Linked DNA regions of Macaca fascicularis. The protein of the gene in region 1 interacts with the protein of each later gene in a pairwise test. Links are inferred from orthologs where the notes say so. Each region holds a gene or a part of one and is shown on either strand. Other genes may lie near its edges.

Region 1 (5,602 bases):
TGGGATTATAGGCATGTGCCACTACTCCCATCTAATTTTTTTTTTTTTTTTTGAGACAGAGTCTCTGTCGCCCAGGTTGGAGTTCAGTGGCATGATCTCGGCTCACTGCAGCCTCTGCTTCCTGGGTTCAAGCAATTCTCCTGTCTCAGCCTCCCAAGTAGCTGGGACTACAGCTGCGCACCACCATGCCCGGCTAATTTTTGTATTTTTAGTCGAGACAGGGTTTTACCATGTTGGCCAGGATGGTCTTGATCTCCTGACCTTGTGATCCGCCCGTCTCTGCCTCCGAAAGTGCTGGGATTACAGGCGTGAGCCACTGTGCCTGGCCATCATAATGCTTTATTTATTCTGTCCTGTGCATCATGGCATGGTTCCTAACTTTTTTGTATTTTTAGTAGAGACGGGGTTTCCCTATGTTGGCCAGACTGGTCTCGAAATTCTGGCCTCAAGTGATCTGCCCGTCTTGGCCTCTCAAAGTGCTGTGACTACAGGCGTGCGCCACCGCACCCGGCTTGCCACCTTTAATTGATGTGACCCTCGGGTAGGTATTTTTGCCTCTTGTTTTTGAGACAGAGTCTCACTCTGTCGCCCAGGCTGGAGTGCAGTAGCCCAATCTTGGCTCACTGCAACCTCTGCCTCCCGGGTTCCTGACTTTGGGGACAGAAAGAATGGCTTGAGCAAAGGTATGGAGGTATGCATATGTGGGTGGAGGTAAGGGGGGAGTGGCCCTCCCACCTATGTGGTTCATGAAGAGGCTGATGGCTGCTCAGGAGATGGGAGGGAGGCACTGTCTGGGGCTATGTTAGGAACAGATAAGAAGCAACAGGAAGGGCTGGACTGGGGACCCATGGGGAGAGAGGAGGGTCCTAGAGTCATGCTGCCTGGGTTGAGTCCTGTCTCCCCTACTTACTAGCTGTGTGGCTTGAGGTGGGTTACTTAACTTCTTGGAGCCTCCGTTTCCTCTTCTATAAAATGGGAATAACAACATTAACAGCCTCCCGAGGCCGTTGAATGAGTTGAATGTAGTAAGTGTGATGTAAATATTAGCCATTGTTATGTGAGATGTTCAGGGGATAGAGTGACAGGGCTCAATGTGTAGCTGAAGGAGGAGAAAAGAAGGGTTTCGAGGCACCTGGGAACTCCAGAGTCCCCATCATTTCTGGGAGAAATGAGCAGTGCCTTCCTCTCTGCCCAACCCTGACCAGCTGTCCACCCACCTCTCCAGGGCCAGAGGAAGCACCTGTGATCTTGATCACTACTCCCAGACGCTGGGTAGAGGGTTAGCCTGCGCATGCTGGGCGAGGCCCTGTCATTTCCTCCACACTCATCCTCAGAGGAGTTGCGGGTGCCTCAAACGATGTCAGGTGATTTTCTTTTTCCTTTTCTCCCCAACTTCTTGGTCTCCTGCCTCCCTCATGTGGCCCTGGGAGACCATCTGATATTTACTGCTGTTATCTGGCAGCTGGGGCTCAGGCAGCAAGTGACACTTGCAAAGAAATGTCCCTGGCCGGGCGCGGTGGCTCAAGCCTGTAATCCCAGCACTTTGGGAGGCCGAGACGGGTGGATCACGAGGTCAGTAGATCGAGACCATCCTGGCTAACACGGTGAAACCCCGTCTCTACTAAAAAAAATACAAAAAACTAGCCGGGCGAGGTGGTGGGCGCCTGTAGTCCCAGCTACTCAGGAGGCTGAGGCAGGAGAATGGTGTGAACCTGGGAGGTGGAGCTTGCAGTGAGCTGAGATCAGGCCACTGCACTCCAGCCTGGGCGACAGAGCCAGACTCCGTCTCAAAAAAAAAAAAAAAGAAATGTCCCTGACACTCCTATGGGCACCATTCTAGGGCCACCGATGCCCAGCCTGGGCTGGGGAAGCCAGGGGCAACCACTCCTATTCCTGACAACAGTAATTGTTGCAGGATAATTCAGGAATCAGAGAGACCGAGGGGTTGAGGAGGATTTATTATTTAGGTGCACTGGCTCAGTCGGATTCACATTTAAAAAGACCGAGCCCTGAACAAAGAGTTAAGTTATATTTTAAGCATTTCACAGGGTGGGGAGAGATCTGTGCAGGGGGAAAGAAATAAAGACAGTTATTTAATTGAGACATGCATTATATTATTTTTTACTTTTTAAGGAAAGACATGTTTTATGGCTTGAGTGTATCTGTCTAGTGGCCTTGCAGCTGCACAGCTAGAGAAACGGGGTCTTCACTGTGCCTGGGAAAGGAGCAGCAATAAGGCTTCCTAGCCACAAAAAAAACCAGGCAGTTCATTTTTAAGGGACTCCAGTTCTTTTTTTTTTCAGGGAAAATTGTTTTTGTTTGTTTGTTTGTTTGAACACAGAGCTGAGTTTCTGCTTACACATTTTAAAATTTCTTTTAATTCCTGTTCTACAATAACAACAATGACCCTGCACACTCCCTGAGAGTGTTCCTCCACTCTCTTGTTTAACCCAGACCCTGCCACAGGGCATATGGCAAACAGCGTTTGTTAAATGAGTGAATAAAAACTACCAGGAGCCGGGCGCGGTGGCTCACGCCTGTAATCCCAGCACTTTGGGAGGCCGAGGCGGGTGGATCACAAGGTCAGGAGATCGAGACCACGGTGAAACCCCGTCTCTACTAAAAATACAAAAAATTAGCCGGGCGCGGTTGTGGGCGCCTGTAGTCCCAGCTACTCGGGAGGCTGAGGCAGGAGAATGGCGTGAACCCGGGAGGCGGAGCTTGCAGTGAGCCGAGATCGCGCCACTGCACTCCAGCCTGGGCGACAGAGCGAGACTCCGTCTCAAAAAAAAAAAAAAAAAAAAAAAAACTACCAGGGATGGGCCCACCACTGTGCTAAGTACTCAACCAACATTTGCACATTTTTTCATATTGAATTCCTATAACCAGCCCGTGATGTGAGTATTATCCCCATTTCACAGATGAGGAAACTGAGGCTCAGTTGCTCAAGGCCTCTCAGCTAGCCAACAGCAGGTCCAGGCTTCCTACCTCAGTCTCTGCCACGCCAGAGAGCTCCGTTTCACCATCCCCACCCACACTATTACACACCCACGGAGAAGCTTAGCTAAGAGATGTGGGGTAACAAACTGTGCTGTGAACCAGGAGGCCCAGGGGCTAAACTTACTTCCAGGGCACACTTGCTGTGTGACCTTGAGCAAATCACAGACCCTCTGTAAGTTTCTGTTGCCTCGATGAAGACAGGAAGATGGCTGGCCTAGTTTGCCCCACAATAATTTATCTGTGGTGTGGTCCTGGGGAATTTGCACTTGTACATGGCAAAAAACCCACAGCCATGAGACTGGCACTTCCCACGGCTGCTGGGATCTTCTCTCTCCAGCTGCTCCCCTGGCAGTGGCTGCAGAGGCTGGAGCCTGGAGCCTGGAGCCTGGGCCAAACACATGCTCTGTGTCAGTAGAACTGGCTCATCCAGCATCTCCTGACCTGCCCCCAAAACCCCAGAAGGTCCCCCGCTCACCTGCAGACGTCAAGCTGAGTCAAGGTGCCCAGCACACACACGGCATGGGTGGGCTGCTCTGGGGTCACACGGATCAATGTCCCCTGGGCCATTGTCTGGTTAGCTGGTCCCTCTGGCTGTAGGAAGCCCCCGGGCTGGTTCCTTTATACCGCCCAGCGGAGGCCATGAGTCAGCACCTGCGGTCTGTGGCCCAGAGGCTCAACCCCTCCCCACTCAGGTCAGGGGTGTGGGCTCTCAAAATCTCCTCTGCCCTGGGGCTGCCCCTTGGACCTCTAGGTGGGTGTCAATGCTGGTACCAGTGGCAGGGTGGCTCTGTCAGTTTCCTGAGAAGGATGGATGGCTCAGAAAGCGTGGGGTGGAGTCCAGGCTGAGGGGTTGGGTCCCAGTCCTACGTGCCCGTAGCCCCATCCCTGCCTGGAGGCCCTGAACACCTTGATCTATCCAATCTCACCTATGTCAAACAGGGGTATCAGAAAGGAGAAGGTGGGAAAAGCAGGGAGATTTTAGGTAAGCGATCATAGGCCAGGCTACACGTTCAAAGAGCAACCAGGCTTGGGACAAGTCTCTCCACCTGGGCCACCCACATGACAGCTCACATTCTTGGTATTTTCTCTACGCCAGGCATGTTTTCCTGCACCACATGGAATAGCTCATTAAGACAAACTTGTGAACTAGGTAGTACCATTATCCCCTTATTTCACCCTCATAGTAGCCCTCTGAGGTTGGTGCCATTATTGTACCCATTTTACAGATGAGAAAATGGAGGTCCAGAGCACTTCCACAGCTCGAGAGTGGTAGGGCCAGAATTGGAACCAAAGGTGTCCAGTTCCAGAGTGTGACATTCATTAGCTGCCTGTCTGTATGACACGTGCTTTCCAGACTGTATCACAGCTACATCTCGCTACAAGATATAGATGGGCTTATTATTACAATCCATTTTACAGAAGGAAAATTGAGGCTCAGAGAGTAAAAGTGACTAGCTCTTGCCCAAAGTGCCAGAGCCAGCATGCAGTAGAGCTGGGAGGAGATGAGCTTCCTGGCGTGGAAGCTGATGTTCTCTGCATGCTCCAGGATACCTGCCTCTTGCCAGGGCCTCTGGCTGTCAGATCAGACAGTGCAGGTGTGGGCCACGCCTGCCAGGGGGACGCCCATTCGGCCACAGAGATGTGGCTGCACCTGGGCCGTTGGTACCAGGCGCTACCTTTAATAAGGCAATTGGCGGGTGGCAGACGGGTCTCAACAAGGAGCACTCAGAGGATGCATGCATGGGGGTCTGGCGTGAACATAGAGCGTTCGGCAGGTTGGATATTTTGTGTTCATTTCTGTTTGCTTGCTTTGGCTTTGAAGCAAAGAATTTGCCTCATTAATTCAGAGCCAGGCTGTGGAATCAAGCAGGCTTTAGTTCAAATCCTGCCCCATGTCAACATCCCCGTGGAGTGGGTCCTATCAGGATGCCCATGTGTAGATGGGCCACAAAGACTTAGAGAGATTGAGTGAGACCCCCAAGGTGTCACAAGCCCTACAGTGGGGATCTGAATTCAGACCACCTTCTCTAGGCTCAAAGCTTATCTTCTGTACCAGCAGATGATGACGTGGCCAGGTCTGACGTTCTGACGCATCTACGTGACTGCCTGCACACAGTAAGTCTTAATAAACCCGATTTCTCTGGCTGACCGCATGATTAGAACTAGTTTGAGTTTCTACTGGAAAGTGGCAGGAGGGAGCTGCCCGTTGTTAAGAGTTGGGAGGGCCCTTAGAGAACACCCAATCCAGTCCTTGTTCTGCAGAAGGGGAGACTGAGGCACAGAAAGGGGGTGGGACCCGCCCACGGTCACGCAGCACATCAGTGAGAGGGCTGGCCTCTACCCCAAGTCTTAGGTCTCCTGAGGTTGTTTTCTTCTGTTTCTTCTTTGCTTTCTTATTTTCTTCAGCAGTTTGGGGTTTAAATTTGCTGTGAATGAGCCATAGAGGACAAGCCCCAAAGCAGTTTTGTTAATTCAACAAATACTTATTGCCTGCTGATGGCCAGACACTGTTCCAGGCACTGTGGATATGCTGTGAACAAAACGGACAAAAATCCTGCCTTCATAGAACCTTTTTGTTTGTTTTTGTTGGGAGAGAGACAGC
Region 2 (5,589 bases), on another chromosome or scaffold:
AGGAGAGCCTCTGTCTCAAAACATTAAAAAAAAAAAAAAAAAAAAAAGCATAGTTTCTCAAAGTGAGGCCCGAATCACAGTCATCCAGGGAGCTGCTTAAATAAGCAGAATCTGCATGTTGTATAAGCTTCCTGGGTGATTTTGATGCACCCTGAAGTTTGGGAACTATAGCTTTAGAAGTTACCTGAGCTTAACCTGCTAACCCTTTCCAGCTCCATCAGAAAAGGGCTGTGGACCTCTGCCTAACCACCTCTAGTGAGAGAGCTCTCGCCAACATCAAGGCTGCCCAGTCTGTGGGTTTTAAAAGCCACTTCTTCAGATTCAACCAGAGCCTATCACCCAGCTCTGCCAAACACCTCGAAGAGCGAGTTTATTCCCTTGTCCACACGTCAAACACCTCTGGCATTTAGGGCTGCTGGCTAGCATGCACCCCCCACACTCACTGCAAACTTCTCTCTCTTTTTTTTCTTTTTATTTAGAGACAGGATCTCACTCTGTCACCCAGGCTGGAGTGCAGTGGCACAATCATAGCTCACTGCAGTCTCAAACTCCTGGGCTCAAGGGATCGTCCTACCTCAGGCTCCCAAGTAGCTGGGACAACAGGTGCACTCCCTTTCCAGCTGAAACAGTTCTAGTTCATCCAACCCCATTTCACATCAGCTTGACAAGAAGAAAATAAGAAAAAGAAAAACATTTGTTCAAGATTTAGTTAACAACCTACGAAGCCACAACTCCAAATTACTATGAACCAAGCACTGATGGAGTTATGGTAGGGCGGAGAGGATAAGAGAACAGGCTTTTGGGCCGGGCGCGGTGGCTCAAGCCTGTAATCCCAGCACTTTGGGAGGCCGAGTCGGGCGGATCACGAGGTCAGGAAATCGAGACCAGCCTGGCTAACACGGTGAAACCCCGTCTCTACTAAAAAAATACAAAAAACTAGCTGGGAGAGGTAGCAGGCGCCTGTAGTCCCAGTTACTCAGGAGACTGAGGCAGGAGAATGGCGTAAACCTGGGAGGCGGAGCTTGCGGTGAGCTGAGATCCGGCCACTGCACTCCAGCCTGGGCCACAGAGCCAGACTCCGTCTCAAAAAAAAAAAAAAAAAAAAAAGAGAACAGGCTTTTGTATCCTGGCAGCTGGATTTAAGCTTTAGTTCACAAATGGTCTGAACTTGACCAAGGATGATGATATGGAACCTTAGGATCCTCAGCTGTAAACCAATGTTAATAACCCCACTGCAGGTTGAAGTGAAGATTAGATAAGACAGTCTAAGATGAGTGTTATTAAAAGTTGCTCCAGGGAGGACACTGCAGTGTCTATCAAACTGCCTCCATACGTAGCCCTAATTGCAGTGAAAACAAACCCTCAAGGGCTAGGTTTGGACCAAATCGCAGCCCAAATCCCAAGCAAAATGTTTTCCAGGTTTCTTGTTTTAGATTTAAAAGGTATATAATTTTTGGATTCTACTTCAAAATATATCTGTGATTGTTTTAGTATAAAAAGTGTTTTTAATCTGAAATATTTGTGTAAAAATGACAAAGAAAATCTCCTCCTCTTGCTTTTGTTTGTTTGCTTGCTTGTTTGTTTATCACCCAGGCTGGAGTGCAGTGGTGTGATCATAACTCACTGTGGCCTTGAACTCCTGGGCTTAAGCGACTCTCCCTCTCCAGCCTCCCAAGTAGATGGGACTACAGGTGGGCGTTACCATGCCCAGCTAATTTTTAAACTTTTTGTAGAGATGGGGTCTTGCTATGTTGTCCAGGCCTCCCCACTGCTTGTTTATTCTGGAACTTCAGGTACTCCCTGGCACACTGCCCACCATCCCCAGTGCCTGCCACTCATCTTGATCTCCCTCGGAGAAAAGCAGGCTTAGTCTACAATCAGATAATAAGTGAGCTCAGGAAAACAAAAGAGTGGCTGGACATAAACAAAGAAACATGCCACTGGACATGAGCCTGGGGATGACCAGGAGACTCACCCTTTAAATACTAAGGCCTGGAGTGGTACACGGCTTGACTGTGCGGGTTACCCTCTAAATTGCTTGCAGAGAAAAATGATCCCTAACCAAATGCAAGAACATCCAGGAGGGAAATTCATAGAAGCCCTTGATCCAGTAGCTGTGTGCCTGTGCCTGTGCCTGTCTACGTGTGAGTGGGGGCAGGGGTGTACTTGCGTCTATATCCTCAATCAACAGAAATCTGACATGAGCTGAATGAGGATGGCCTTGGCCTGATAGGGCTCTGGGGAGTCAGCAGTTCTTGGGTCACTGGGGTTATCCATTTTCTTATTCCTGTCCACTTCCTCTCCTACTTGCTCTTCCATCTGTGTCTGAGAATTCCCTGGCAACGAAAAACCTAGGGTTTGGATGCTGGGCATGGTGGCTCATGCCTGTAATCCCAGCACTTTGGGAGGCTGAGGCAGGTGGATCACCTGAGGTCAGGAATTCAAGACCAGCCTGGCCAACATGGCAAAACCCCGTCTGTACTAAAAATACAAAAAAATAGCCGGGCACAGTGTCGGGTGCCTGTAGTCCCAGCTACTCGCGAAGCTGAGGCAGGAGAATGGCGTGAACCCGGAAGGCAGAACTTGCAGTGAGCCGAGATCGAGCCACTGCACTCCAGCCTGGGCGACAGAGCAAGACTCCATCTCAAAAAAAAAAAAAAAAAAAAATCTGGGGTTTGATTATCAATAGTTACCAGTTACCTCCTGAGTAGCTGGGACTATAGGCACGTGGTGGCATGCACGTGTAGTCTCAGCTACTCAGGAGGTTGAGGTGGGTGAAACACCTGAGCCTGGGAGACAGCGTGAGCTGTATCCAGGCACTGCACTCCAGCCTGGGCTTCAGAAGTGACACTGCGTCTCAAAACAAAACAAAAAATTAAAGGGCAAACAGTAGGGAATGGAAAGGGGTGGTGGGGTGTCATGGACTGGTGGGCAGGAGAATGGATAACTTGGAGAGCGCCACCCTATCTATCCTTCCCACTGTCAGCAGGAGAGAGCAGATGCCGAGTTCCAAGAAAAGCACGAGTTATGCAGGACCCACTCTGCTCTATCAGCTCAGAAGACTTGCATTGACCCGGGGGGCACTTCTGCCGGCAAATTGTTGAGAAGCAATCCTCTTTGGCCCCAAAGTCTCCAGCTGGTCAAAGTCATGACAAACTGGTGAGACTGAGCCACCAGCCAACTCAAGTCATGGACCCTATAATGATCAGACTCCGATGTGCCGGGCACTGTGCCGAGGGCATTAGACACACAAGAAGGTAAGACAATAGTAAGGATCTAGGAGAAAGGAATAAGTTTCTTAAATGGAGTAAAGAAAGAATCAAAAAGTAAACTGTAAGAGGTGTTAGGCGCAGTTAGTTACGGTCAAGATTATCTCGGTCCTTTCTTTTTGATGCCGGAGTCCAGCACACGGACCGAATAAATAGCTGCCGTGGTCTCTGATCCGCGTCCTGAGCTGTGTAAGCGGCCCTGGATGTCTGGATGGTGCCAGTGGTTAGGCGCCGCACTCGCCTCCCTCTCGCCCACCCGGAGCGAGTCCCGGGCCCGCTGGCCCCTTCCACCCTGTGGCCGCCCGGGCTTGCCCGCAAGCCGGCGCCGAGCACCCACTCTAGGGCGCAGCGCGGAGCCGGGCATCCCCGCGAAACCCTCCCGGGCCATGTTCCCCGTTCCCCGAGCCCAGGACCCCCGGCCCGGAGCCCCTTTACCCCTCATACCGAGGCCGGGCTGCGCTCCTCCTCTGCGGCTGCGGAGGTCACACCCTGCTGAGGGCCAGACGGCGGGTCTTATCCGGGACGGATCCGCCCCGCTTTGGGGTGGAGACTGAGCCCGAGTTCCTGGTTTTTCCTCTGCCCACGAGACCGGAAAATCCCTCTCTAGGCGAAGCGCACCTGGGGCCCCGGGCCGGGACAGCAGCGCCCGGCGCTCTCTGAGGGGCGGGCCTCGACCCTCGGCGGGTCCGCCCTCCACACGTGCCCGCGCCCCAGGCCGGCCGGATCCCCCGGCCTCGCCCCCTGCCCGGATTGGATAATGCCGCCAGTACCGCCAGCCCCGCTCCTGGTCCCGCAGGGTGGGAGCAGTTGGATTCTCGGGGTCCCCGTGTCCTGGGCGCTCCACACCCTCGGAGGGCCGAGCCCGGGCCACCTCGCCAGTTCCTCCCTGCGCCTGCCGCGCCCATCTCCGCGCGGAGCCGCAGTCCCGCCTCGAATCCACGCTTCCCCCAACCCCGGAAAACCGTTTCTCTCCCAACGGCAGGCTAGTGCTGAGCCCGTGGCCGGAAAAGTAGAAAGTGAAATCTGAAGGGTACTTTTCATTTCCCTCTTTTACAGGAAAACACATTCCCAAAAGTTTCCAGCACTTCCCTCTTCCCTGTGCGCCCAGCAGGCCGGGAAAGCTTTGGAGTAGGAGTTAGGAGCAGCTCCGGATCTTTCTCTATACTCCTGTGAGTGACTGAGGTTTAGACACTGTCCGTGGCTCCCAGGTTCGACTTGGCGCGGCGCTCATCCCTTGTAATAGTGTTGTGTTTTTATATCTGCTTCCCCTGCTGGACACAGCCTCTTGAAGCCACCAACTAGGGCTAGGTCGTCTTAGCACCCATGCCCAGCACCGATTCCACCACGTAGTGAATGCTTGCAGAATGAATCCGTTGAGTCTATAGGCACATTCAATTTTTTTAAAAAACAGAGAATAGCCCGTTTGGGGAGTGTTTTCTATCCGACACATCAAAATATAAGTGGTTAATGGCACCCTTAAAGCTGGAGAGGTAACATTAAATTATTTCATTAAGATGTAATTTTAAAAGGTGGTTTAATATGGTTTAGAGCATGGGTTTTAGGATCAGACTGATTTGGATACTAAAACTGGTTCTGCCTCTTTTGTCTGCATGTGATAACTTAAATTAAGGCTGGGAACGGTGGCTCACGCCTGTAATCCCAGCACTTTGGGAGGCCAGGGCAAGTGGATCGCTTGAGCCCAGGAGTTCGAGACCAGCCTGGCCAACGTGGTGAAATCCCATATCAAAACACACACACACACACACACACACACACACACACACAAATTAGCTGGGTGTGGTGGCATGCGCCTGTAGTCCCAGCTATTCAGTAGGATGAGGTGGAAGAAACCCCCAAGCCGGAGAGGTGGAGGCTGCAGTGAGCTGAGACTGCGCCACCGCACACCGGCCTGGGCAACAGAGCGAGACACTGTCACGGAAAAAAAAAGAAAAAATAAGTAAAATAACTAGCCGGGCGCGTAGCCACGCCTGTAGTCCCAGCTACTGGCCAGGCTGAAGCAGGAGGATCACTCTAAGCCCAGGAGGTCAATGTTGCAGTGAGCTATGACTGCACCACTGCACTCCAGCCTGGGCGACAGAGTGAGACCTTGTCTCAAAACAAAAACAAAAACAAAACAAAACAAAAAATTAAAGGGCAAACAGTAGGAAGAAATGAAATACAGATAATTCATTTCCTCAGCAAGATTAGAGAGACACTGCATCCCTTACAAGCAACAGTTAGTCTGGGTGAGGTGGCTCAGACTATAATCCCAACACTTTGGGAGGCCCAGGTGGTTGCTTGAGGCCGGGAGTTTGGGAGA

What was found.
Region 2: the proteins of PADI4 (region 1) and ANXA4 interact in binary tests that used the Homo sapiens proteins (3 or more experiments, as listed by UniProt). The two-hybrid records come from large-scale screens. The link is inferred for Macaca fascicularis from reciprocal best matches to the Homo sapiens genes PADI4 and ANXA4.

Annotation. Positions count from the first base shown.
Region 1 is NC_088375.1:217,810,132-217,815,733, forward strand, and holds the start of PADI4 (protein-arginine deiminase type-4), read right to left. Parts: upstream 3,594-5,602; 5' UTR 3,568-3,593; coding exon 3,476-3,567; intron 1-3,475. UniProt on the Homo sapiens protein: Catalyzes the citrullination/deimination of arginine residues of proteins such as histones, thereby playing a key role in histone code and regulation of stem cell maintenance.
Region 2 is NC_088387.1:52,197,121-52,202,709, forward strand, and holds the start of ANXA4 (annexin A4), read right to left. Parts: upstream 3,756-5,589; 5' UTR 3,714-3,755; intron 1-3,713. UniProt on the Homo sapiens protein: Calcium/phospholipid-binding protein which promotes membrane fusion and is involved in exocytosis.